Linked DNA regions of Elephas maximus indicus. The protein of the gene in region 1 interacts with the protein of each later gene in a pairwise test. Links are inferred from orthologs where the notes say so. Each region holds a gene or a part of one and is shown on either strand. Other genes may lie near its edges. The genes, in order: PRR3, ASF1A and KHDRBS2.

Region 1 (3,749 bases):
GACGCCAGCGCCGGCCGGTTCTCAGGGGCCATAAGATCCCCCTCCCCAGGCGGCCTGGCTCCTCCTCACCCCACCGCACCTCTTTCGAGGCCGGGCCCTTCTAGTCAGTCGGCCCAGGACCCCCCCGGAATTGCGTGAGGGGACTCACCCCTCCTCCAGAGAGCTGCGGGGATGGCGCCCCGTACGAGCTGAAGGGATTCCCCTCCCCCAACTCCCTCTCCTTCCCCATCCCTTCCAGATGTCGGGGGGCTAAGGTGGAGGAATCTCCTCTGCGATCGCCGGCGCGGGTCGTCGCGCGCTCCCCCCCTCCCACGCCCCCCAGAGGTGCGGAGGGCACACCTCTCCCTCCAGATGTGCGGGAGCCCGAGCCCCGCCCCCTCCTCCCTCGCTGACCTCGCTTCCGCTCTCGCTTGTCCTGCAACTGCTTCTTCTTCTGCTTCACGCTGAAGGGCTTCTTCCTCGGCATGGCCCGGACCAGACACCTGGCCCGCCCTCCGCCGAGCTCCCTCCGCCTCAACTGACTCCCCCCCGGCAGCCCCCGCCGCAGGGCCCCGGGACCCTAGAAGGGGCGGGGCTAGCAGGTGACGTCAGCGGGCGGGCCGGGCCACTCACCGCGTCGGCCTGACTGAAAGGCGGACAGGGCAAATACAGTCACTTCCCTCCAGGAGCGTGGCGAGAGGATGATGCCGCGTGGCCTACCCGCGCATGAGAGCCGGTCGCACCGAGAGGGCGCAGCGGCGGCAAGGAAAGAGGTGCGCGTGGGAGGATCGGGCTAACTTCGTCACGGACGCTACCAACTCGCTATCGGAGGAGGGGAGACGTATGTCATCACTACCTTGCGCGGCCGGCGAGAAGCTACCACTCACCTGGAGGGGGAGGCGGAGCGGAGGGCGGGCCCTACCACCCAGGGGAGAAGGGGGCGGGGACACATAGAAGCTCCCTTACCAACCCGGAGGCTTGACCTTAGTGGAGAGCCGAGACGGCGCGTCCCAGGAGTGAATACAGGTTGCTGGGCTACAGCTAGGGGCCGGGGCAGAGGTCCTGAAGGGCAGGTGGCGATCTGAAGAATCTCGGGCGCTGCTCTGCTGGGACCCAAATTCTTTGTGAGAATGATGACAAGGAGCGAGTTTACAGATTTATGTATAAGCGCGGGCGAGGAGGAAAACCTACATGGGATAAAGACTTTCGGAGAGAGGTCGGAGGGCACGAAGTTGTGCCTGCAGCTGTTACCATGGTAACCGGGTACCGGATGTGGCGATCTTAGGATGCGACAGCCCTCGCTTCTCAGGCCTCCTGGCCCAAGACCCTCTCGACTATATGGCACACTGTGAGGAACGGGTTGTGGTGTTTTCTCTGCGGCGAGGAAGAATAGAATATTTTTTAAGCCTCTATAAAAACGCAGCAAAGAGAAGGTTCTACATCGCGTCCATGCCTGGCAAAGACCTGAGGATGCGGCTGCAGCAGAGACTCCCCGCAGCCTTCCGGAAGTGAAATGGCGGGAGTCTCAGCCTCACTGTCCACCGTCCCCCCGGAAGCGGAAACAGAATCCCAGCTTGCCCCTTCCTCACTGCCCTCCAAATTCTACTGCAGCCATTCCCGCAGCCACGATGCCAAAACGAAAGAAGCAGAATCAGCAGCAGCAGCTTCCACCGCCGCAGCCCCCACTGCCAGAGCCGGGAGAGACTGGAGACGAGGACGACAGAAGTCCCATCGGTGAGGAGCCCGGGAGGTGCACCTGCCTGTCAGCCCGTCCTGGCGAGGGGCTAGGGGCTGACAAGGTGGGGAGGAGATCCTCTAATGGAAGAAGGAAGGGTGCACGCGCTGGGAGAGGGGGCCTATCTGGGATGAAGCCCTGAACGTGGAGTTCTCTTATTTGGACTTTCAACCTTAATCTGACCCCCAAACCTTTTTAGAGAAGGCAGGGAGGAGAGGATAAAGAGCTCGTGCGCGCAGCCGCAGAACGGCAGGGGAGAGGAGCCGAAGAGAGGTTGCAGATTGGGGTGACTAGGATGATTTGTGATCAGATTTTCACAGGAAAGGTGAAAGTGCAGCCTTTTCTCAGCTGCTCTCTGGGGGGGGAGGGATGGGAAGGAGAATCACCTGGGATGTTTTGAATATCAACACTGTAAGAAAAATAGAAAGTTGTCAGTATCCTTCCCACATTATTCTCCCCAGGGCTGAGTCTCTACTTTTTGCAAACCCTGACACAGGTTTGCAGAGAAAGGGCAGATAAGTGGAGTGAGAACTGGGCAACATGGCTGAGAATATATTTGGCTTTGTTGGTTGGACTAAGAAATGTGTAATAGAAGAAAAACACACGTAAGAACTCAGTCATTTAGTCCACTCTAGTGACCATATTTTCATGTCTACTCTCAGGACCACCCAGCCTTCTGGGCCCTCCCCCCATGGCCAATGGAAAGCCTGGTGACCCCAAGTCAGGTGAGAAGGAAGGGGCCCTGAACCTTGGATTAAATCCTAGAGAAGGGAGCAAGGGAGGGAGTAAAACCCAGGCGGGACCTTAAATCAAAAGACCAGTGCTTCTGTGCCTAAGTAAATGGAGAGATGTTGATAGTCACAGAGTGGAAACTCAATGTTGTAAAAATGTCATTTCTTCCCAAATTGATCCATAGTTTCAATGCATTCCCAGTCAGAATTCTATCATTTTCTTGTGGAGATAAAGATTCCACCTACATGTCAGAGTGATAAACTGCCAAGATAGTCTTGAAGAATAAAATAGAGGCCTTACTCTGAATATCAAAACTTAATTATAACAGTATGGTATTAGCACGGTGGTAGACCTATAAGTCAATAGAACAGCACAGAGCTCAGAAACAAGCCTACACGTATATGTATTATGATGAAGGTGGCATTAGAAAGGTGGTCTTTTCAGTAAATGGTGCTGGGTCAATTGTATGTTCGTGTGGGAAAAAACAAACTCTTAATCATACTGGGTACAAAAATCAATTCCAAGTGGACTGTAGATCTATAAGTGTGAAAAGTAGAAGAATAATTCTAGAAAAAAGTTCTTACCACCAAGAAACACACACACTAACCGTAGAGAAAAGATCACTAAATTGAACTATGCTAAAAAATATAAACTTCTGTTTATTTAAGAGCGCAAAGGAGTCCCTGGGTGGCACAAACAGTTAAGTGCTCGACTACTGGCCGAAAGATTGGCAGTTCCAACCCACCCGTGGGGCCTTGGAAGATAGGCCTGGCAGTCTGCTTCCAAGGATCACAGCCTTGAAAACCCTAGGAAGCAGTTCTACTCTGCATATATGGGGTTGCCATAAATCGGAATCAACTTGAGGGCAACTAACAAAAAAACTCAAAAGGAAGTGATAGAGTGAGAGAAGATGTGTGCAATGTATGTAATCAATGTGGAGCTTGTATTAAAGAGCTCTTCCAGACAGTCTGTTAGAGAAATGGCAAAAGATGAGAACAGGCACCATCAGAAAAGAGGAGATCTGACTGGCCAATAACATGTGAATAAATACTCAACATTAGTCATCAAATGAATGCAAGTTATAAACAACACCACTTTTCACACTCGCCAGATGACTAAAATGAAAGACTGGCAATAGCAAGTGTTGTCAAAGATATGGAACAACTGCCAGTGGGAGTACAAATTGGTACAACCACACTGAAAAAAATTGACATTAGCTATTAAACTTGAACATACATGTACTCTGTGGCCCAGCAGTTCCTCTACTACGTATATACTCAACAGAAATGCATACATAATGTGT
Region 2 (3,749 bases), about 95 Mb from region 1:
AAAGTGGAAGAAAGTGTATTCTTGACATCAGTAGTGTAAAAACCTTAAGTGTGATTCAGCTGGATTCTGAATGGAAAACATAGTAATTTGGCTTCCATGAACGGCGGGTTTCAACCATCCGATATAACAGCTCTGGTACAACATCCTGAACCTTCTATCTCCCTTGTTGAGAGCTGAGTCTTAAAATGGAAGGCATCACCTGAGAAATAACTGTAATTTGAACTTCTAATGCCTAAAACACTGTAGCGAAAGTTGGAAGGGACTGATCTATGGTTTCTCTTACATTCCCTGACTTTTATACGCAGTTGGCAAGGAAAAGGAAAAACTGTTAGGTATGAAAAATGAGCCTGGTATCTGAAATGCTTGTAGTTGTACTATGAGAGAGTTATCAAGCAGTTTCCAAATAATAGGAAAAGCATCTTTAATTTTACAATCAATTTAGCAATTAGATTAATAAATAGATCTTTCAAAATATGCCTTATATTTAATATATATAGTTATGTTAACCTAAGGGTTGGAAGTTCCAATCCACCAGGCGCTCCTTTGGAAACTATATGAGGCAGTTCTACTCTGTTGTATTTATTAAAACTGGATGGAAGGACACATATTAAAGTGTTAATTGTGGTTACCTAAAGGAGATGGGCGAAAACAATGACTAGAGAACTGTTAACTTTATATACTATCTGTACATACAATGTTTAAAACTAAGTATAAAGAGCAAATATTGCTTTATTAAAGTTACCACCCTATGTAAAATACACTTTATAGAAGTTAAAAACTAATTTTTTTAATGAAAATAATGCTTTGCATGCCATGATTAGCACAATTATTTTAAATGTATTTTGTCAAAAATACATGTAGGTTCAAAGAAGCAAGCCCCTACTGTAAAATTAACATTGATGAGCTTAAACTTTTTTCCCCTAAATTCTGAAAATGAAGCACTGTATTGATTTAATAAAATCGAAGTTAAGCAAAGGTAAGACTTTGGCAAGTTTTCACTTTCCAAATATTTATTACTGTAATACTAAAAATAGTTATCTTTTTTAAAATCCTTAAACGTATTTAGAAAAAAATAGTGAAAATTTTTGCATTGCCATCAGGACTTTACCTTTTATTTCTAGCTCACTTTTGTGTTTAAAGTTCAGAATGTATTCTGTATCTGTGTGGATGTGGAGTTATTTTAGTTAGAATTCAACACGTTCTTGAAGCCAAGTCTTCTTTGACTATTTAGAAGCCAGTGATTAAGTCCTGGAAATTTAAGGATTTTACTTATTTGTGCTCTTGGGTTAAATGTAACTTTCTAGCTTAGAAACATTTTTCTTCCTGAGAGAGAGGAAAGGAGATTTTAGTCATTAAGGAAAAGGAATTCACGTTCGTCGGTGCGAGCTTACGCGCCAGCATCCCGGGCTCCGGAGCATCCCCGGGCACCCGGAGCAGCCCGGTGGCTGGCCGGGGAGGGCCCGCGGTCCCCGGGGAGCGTCGGCGCCCAGCCCGCGGCACGGAGGGGCCGAGCCTGCGCCCGCCTCCCCCGCTGGTTGGTCGAGGGAGCCAGAAATCAGCGCGAGAACAGCCTCGCTCTCCTCCCTGAGGCGGCCGGGCATGGCCACCCAGGAGAGTAGGGCAACTCTTCCGTAAGCTGTAAAAACGGACTTCCCATTCACTCGGGGGCAGGAAGGTGGGCAGGCCGGGCGCGGGTTCAGAACCCGCGGTGGGGAAGAGGAGGCGCCGTGACGCCGGCGTCCGTAGCCCAATTCTCCAGTCTTGGTAAGATGGCTCCGTTCCTAACTCGCCGCCACCGCCACATACACACACGCCTCTCCTTCCCGGGCCTCTACCCCGGGGCCGCGGCAGTCGCGGAGGCCGTTCGAGGCGGGGGGCCGGCCCGGCGCGCCCCTCACCCGCCGCCACCGCGGGCGCGAGTGAGGGTCTCGCGAACCTCCCGCCCCCCAGACAAAGCTGACAACATGGCTACCTCCGCTCGAACAAGTTCCTCGCAACTTGAGCTGCCGCGGCAGACGCCTTGGCTGCGGCCGAACACCGCGCGCGCCTCAGGGGCCGTCGTCCATCAACTTCAAGTTTCCCTCCGCAGAGCTGAGACCGCAGCCGCCGGGCGCCGAGCAGCGCCAGCCGCGCAAGGCCGGGCCCGGGAAACTTTCAACGTCTGCAGCCCGCAACTGACAGCCTGGGCGGGCGGCGGGCGCCGCTACTCACCTTCAGACAGGTCCTCGATGCACTCGAAGGTGATCTCGAACTGGAACGGGTTGTAGAAAGGAGAAGGGTTATCCAGCACCACTACATTGTTCACCTGAACCTTTGCCATATTTTGAAAAACAAACAATGGGGACGGGGCTTGTTGCGGCACAATAAAGTCCAGCGTGCGGCCGCTCCGGTGAGCGCAGACCCCCGCCCCGGTGCCGGCCCGACGTCGTGCAGTGGCGACTTGAGAAACTTTTTTTCCTTTTTATTTACACGGCAGCACTCAGTGTTTTTGCAGCTTTCCTATTTCACTAAACTACAGCCCATTCTGCTCGGATAACTAGCAGCGTTGGCCGCGATTGGCTGCACCGGAGCTCTGACCCTCCTCCTCCAGCAAGGGCCTCGGCAGCGAGCAAGATGGGCTCCCGCTCCCGGAATGGACTCGGAAACTTTAACTGCGGCTCCACCTGCTGGTGTGGATTAGGACAAAGGCGGAGAACAAAGTGAGTGGAATACGGGCTGGGAGGCCCGCGCGGAGGACGCCGCCGCAGGCGGGGGGAGGGGCGGCGCAGGCCCCGCCCCCGGCCCGGCGACTCCCGCGCCTCACGTCGGGCGTGGCCGCGGCGGGCACGGGGAGGGAGGCGTGACCACCGCGAGGGAGGTGAGAGGAGAGGCCGCGGCGGCGACGGCCGGGGGCGTGGCCACATGGCCTAGGGCGTGTTCGCAGTGGCGGAGGCGGCGGGAGGGCGCGATCCCGGGCGACGCCCGCCTCGGTTTTGCATCTTGGTTTTTTTTTTTTTAACTGAGCTCTTTTTTTTTTTTTTTTTTAAATCAATCAAGGGCCTTGCCGGCTTTCCGCTGAATTTAGGAGATGAGATTCAGTTCAGTTGTCTATGTATCGGGTAGTATTTGGAGTAGAGGGAAGGACTGGTTGCAGTGGAAGTAAATTGCATTTTATAGCCCTATGCCAGCTCGAAAGGAGTAAAGCCATTTTGGAAATTTTAGTGGTTGGGCAATATCTGCTTTTGGGCATGACAGCACCGTTGGATAAATAGACATAAAAGATGAGGAGATGCTTTTCCACTCACACACTTTGCGTGGAAAATCTGAATAGGCTATCTTTGGGCTGCACCTGGGTCATCTTCGTCTGCATTCGAGATCTGAAAACTCCTAGGGTGAGAAAAACGTTACTAGAGATGTGATCTGTTACCCCCCAAAATTACTGCCATTTGGAGGGCATAGCAGGAACGTAAAAGGTGAAAAAGAAAGCGTGAGGACGCTAAAAGGCAATAAATAGAAAATGAAAAAGAACACAGAGGTATACCAAAACATTTGATCTTTTAAAAAAATTAACGGTTATACCGTTATGAAGTTAAAAATTTGTGGCACCTCAAACAAGATTCTGAAGAGGTTTTGCTTGCCTGTAACCACTTCAGGTCTTAACTGAGGAAATGTGGATTTCTGCTGCTTGACGACTCGGAATCGACTCGACGGCACTGGGTCTGGGTTTGGGGGTTAGGGAGAAGGGTCGCTATGAGTCGGAATCGAATCGA
Region 3 (3,749 bases), about 34 Mb from region 1:
GGTTTGAATAGCCAACCTTTTGGTTAGCAGCCCAGCACTGTAACCACCACACCACCAGTGTTCCTTTAAAAAAAAATTCTCTAATAAGTAGGTATAAAAGCCCTGGAGACAACTACAGAAGTAATTTAAACACTATGCGTCTTTTGGCATAAGTCATAGTGAACCCCAAGATAATTAATCATCACTTTCTCTGTTGCCCTTTATGTCTCTGAAATCTGGGCACCTCTCTTTGTTTCTTACTTAGATGCTGTCCCCTTCTGTTTAGGTGCTTTTTCTCTTCTTTACAAAAGCAGGACATGCTTCCCCCTACTGGGAAAAAATCAAATTACAAGGTACATCCGACCATGTTTCTCAGGTATCATGAAATCAAGTTCCTGGGAAAGAAAAAGTGTTAAGAAACCAGGTGCATAACCTTCTCTGGCTGTTTTACCAGCTGCAGAAGTATCTATGCACTCTGTTAAGAGTTTCTCCTATGCACTGCTTTAGTTTAATTTTCAAAAGTACAATAAATCTCATTAATGACTGATGAATTAATCATGGAGCATGCAGTCCCAAAGAGAACTCCAATTAGCAAGTTGGAGAAAAAGATCAATTTGTAACTTTTTTTTTTTCATTTTAAGACATACTAGCTAAATGAAGACACTTCTGAAAAATATATTGAAATAAACTTTTCGAAGAGGCTTAATTGCATTTTCAAGCCATTTTTGAACAATCCTGAACATTTATAGCTTCATTAATTTCCAATATTCCTAGTATTTTTACCTAGCGGTCTTAATTTTTGCAGTAGTTTTAAAATTTTTAATTGACTTTTATTCTCAACTTTAATTTCTATTTTTTTCCATTCAGTAGCCAAGAAACTAGTAAGCACAACTGTACTTTACCCTCCGCAAATCCTTCACAAAACGCATTTTTCTTGAAAAACAGTTCAGTTGTTTCAATCATATATTCCATATTCTAATTAGAAATTTTTTCCAGGCAAAGATAGAACACAATTTATGCTTTATTGTTATCCTACATAATAATCCATCAATAAAATATTAAAATAAGCCTAATGCCTACTGAATCATATATGGAGTTGTAGAAAAATTTATCTTTCCACATACAACTAAGTCTCAAAAATGGCATTTCTTTTAACGCTGAGGGGCTGAGAAAGAGAAAGTTGTCACGGTTAGTTTTACTGTAGTTAAATCCATAAGAACCCAAGCTACAAAACTGCACTGTAGCCAATTTGATGATGAAGCAATTCATTATTCATGAAGCCTTCATCCAAAAAGTCTGTACTTTTTTTTAAGTGTGTATAGATTACTACAGATACTGTAGGAATCTTTATCATTTTGAGGGTAGTATTTCATGATAAATGGAGTAATTGGTTAATATTTCTGCCATGCAGAAGTTGTGTGTGTGTGTGCGTGCGTGCGTGTCTTTTTTTAGACGACCTTTCAAAGCAATGCAAAAGACAAGACACACATATTCCTCTGGGAATGGAATCTCCTTTAACAGTACAAGTACATAAAAGAAAATGCATACTTGGTAAAAGAGTTGATCAATTGAGGAGCGTTCCTAGGAACTAGTACCTAATCATCATACTTCAAATAAATTTATAAGCACTTGCGCGTCTGCTTGCGACATTCACATACATACACGAACATGCATACTTACATCTAGGTTGATTCTAATACTTTCCATAAGAAAGACTAATTAGATCAAAGGGTATCAAAATCACTTCCCAAATGCAGTAAAAAATGCTGATCTGTAGCTATACAAAGCTCTCAGAACACTACACTGATCACCATTTACTTCCAAACTCATTTCCCTTCCCTCTGCGACGTGAATATGTCCCTGTAGACCGCGTTACACTTTATGGTTTCTCTATCAATGGTCCACATCTCCACTGGCAGTAGATCTCGCAGCTTTGGTCTTCCACAAATTAAGACGTGGAGGAGAAGGAGCATAGGTGCCCACTCCAAGAACGGGCTCTGTCTGCCCGAGGGGTGAGGCGAGCACCTTCATTCAGAGGGACAGTTTCTGTGAAGGTGGAGACAGGCGTCCCTCCCCAACTTCACTCCCCTAACCCAGCTGGCGGCGAGATGGGCGGCCGGGTGGCCCGTGCCCATCGCAGGGGGCAGGTCCTACCTTCCGCCAAAAGGCGCGATGCGTGCACAAAAGATGGATCCAGGCTATCTTTCTCTGCCATCAGCTCAGGCAAATATTTCTCCTCTTCCATAGCTCGGACTTCGGACCGTCCCCGGGCGAAGCGCAAGGTTCCGCTCGCTCGGACGCAGGGTCGCCAGGCAGCGCCTAGCTCCTGCGCTGCTCCGCCTCCGCCGCGGCGCGGGGATCTCCGCGCGTCCTCACTGGCCCATGCACTGAGTGCCTGTGACTCCCGCCGTCGGGCTGCGCGGCCCCGCGCCCACACCTGCCAGTCCCTTCCCCGGTCCCTCGCTCGCGCGGAGCCCGGGCTCACACCAGCGGCCTTAACTGGAGAGGCGGGAACACGGTGCGTCCCACCTCTGCCAACCATTCATTGGTGGTGGTGCAAGGAGAGGCGGGTCCCCAGCGAAGGCGACAGGGTCTTATTGGGCCACGCTGCACATCGGATCGCCTGACTGGCAGGAGGCAGCTGCAGAGGGGAGGGGTGCTCAGAAGGTGCAAACGCATTCTTCTTGCAGCGCAAGCCTTCCCTGGTTATTAGGCATGCCCAGTTCTATGGAGCCCTCTGTGTCTTCAGCTGAGGTTCGGATGGAGAAGAGCGGGAAAAGCACCGGTAATACAGAGAGGCTCTGGTCCAAGACAGCAGGAAAAATGAGGGTGAGAAGTGAGCAAAAAAGGAATGGGAAAGCGCCAGGGAAAGTCTCCGGAACGTAGATGGGACTTCACCTGCGTCCCAAAGGCACAGGTGTCTTCTCCCTCTCCCGCAGCTCAGATGCACTCCAGTTTTGCAGTAATCAGCCGTGCACTCGGTCTGAAAATATAATGAATACTGCATGTGATCGGCGGCTGGTATTTTCAGTGAGCCTGACCTACATCTCAGGGACGCAGATAAACAAATAAAGCGGCTCCGGGGCGATATTGTTGTACACGACCCAGAGCGCAATCATTCGGGGTATTGATTTAGTTCTGGTTTCCCTCCCATCCAGCCTTCCTTCCCCCTACCCTTGGGAGAGAGATTGCCGGGGAAGAGGAGTGAATTTAAAAAATAAAAAAAAAAAAAACTAAAAACAACATAATCAATTGGCCACAGCTTGTGAAGGAATTAGAAGACATGTGGAGGAAGGAAAAATAGGCAACTACAGTTGTTCTAATTCCCCCCCCCCCTTTTTTTTTTCCTTATTGTAGATGTGACAGTTTCTTTCACCAGGCATTGTCGCTGAGCTACTTTATATCTTTCCCACCTCTGTTTAAAGGGAGAGTCTAATCCTCCCAGTATTAACAACAGCGGAGGCACAGCCCATCCTTCTCTTAGATAAAAACAACCAGCCAGCTGCTAGTTGCCGTGCAGTTTACCTGAATCACCAGGACCCCATCTGTGTTAGAGTAGAATTGTGCTCCATTGGGTTTTCAGTGGCTCATGTTTGAGAAATAGTTGGCCAGGCCTTTCTTACCAAGGGGCCTTAAAATCTAGGCTGTGTTCTTCAAATTCTATAAACCACTCTTTCCCGTGGTCTTGGGCTCTCTTTTCACAATCATTTTTAATGCCTCCCTCCACCATTTTTGGTGTGGGAGGAAAAGGGCCAAGATCGCTAGAAATA

Evidence for each region.
Region 2: the proteins of PRR3 (region 1) and ASF1A interact in binary tests that used the Homo sapiens proteins (3 or more experiments, as listed by UniProt). The two-hybrid records come from large-scale screens. The link is inferred for Elephas maximus indicus from reciprocal best matches to the Homo sapiens genes PRR3 and ASF1A.
Region 3: the proteins of PRR3 (region 1) and KHDRBS2 interact in binary tests that used the Homo sapiens proteins (3 or more experiments, as listed by UniProt). The two-hybrid records come from large-scale screens. The link is inferred for Elephas maximus indicus from reciprocal best matches to the Homo sapiens genes PRR3 and KHDRBS2.

Annotation. Positions count from the first base shown.
Region 1 is NC_064819.1:90,905,659-90,909,407, forward strand, and holds the start of PRR3 (proline-rich protein 3), read left to right. Parts: upstream 1-1,410; 5' UTR 1,411-1,607; coding exon 1,608-1,713; intron 1,714-2,376; coding exon 2,377-2,439; intron 2,440-3,749. Other genes in the region: GNL1 (guanine nucleotide-binding protein-like 1), read right to left, coding at 394-466.
Region 2 is NC_064819.1:186,030,110-186,033,858, reverse strand, and holds the start of ASF1A (histone chaperone ASF1A), read right to left. Parts: upstream 2,653-3,749; 5' UTR 2,321-2,652; coding exon 2,212-2,320; intron 1-2,211. UniProt on the Homo sapiens protein: Histone chaperone that facilitates histone deposition and histone exchange and removal during nucleosome assembly and disassembly.
Region 3 is NC_064819.1:124,917,461-124,921,209, forward strand, and holds the start of KHDRBS2 (KH domain-containing, RNA-binding, signal transduction-associated protein 2), read right to left. Parts: upstream 2,453-3,749; 5' UTR 2,225-2,452; coding exon 2,134-2,224; intron 1-2,133. UniProt on the Homo sapiens protein: RNA-binding protein that plays a role in the regulation of alternative splicing and influences mRNA splice site selection and exon inclusion. Binds both poly(A) and poly(U) homopolymers. Phosphorylation by PTK6 inhibits its RNA-binding ability.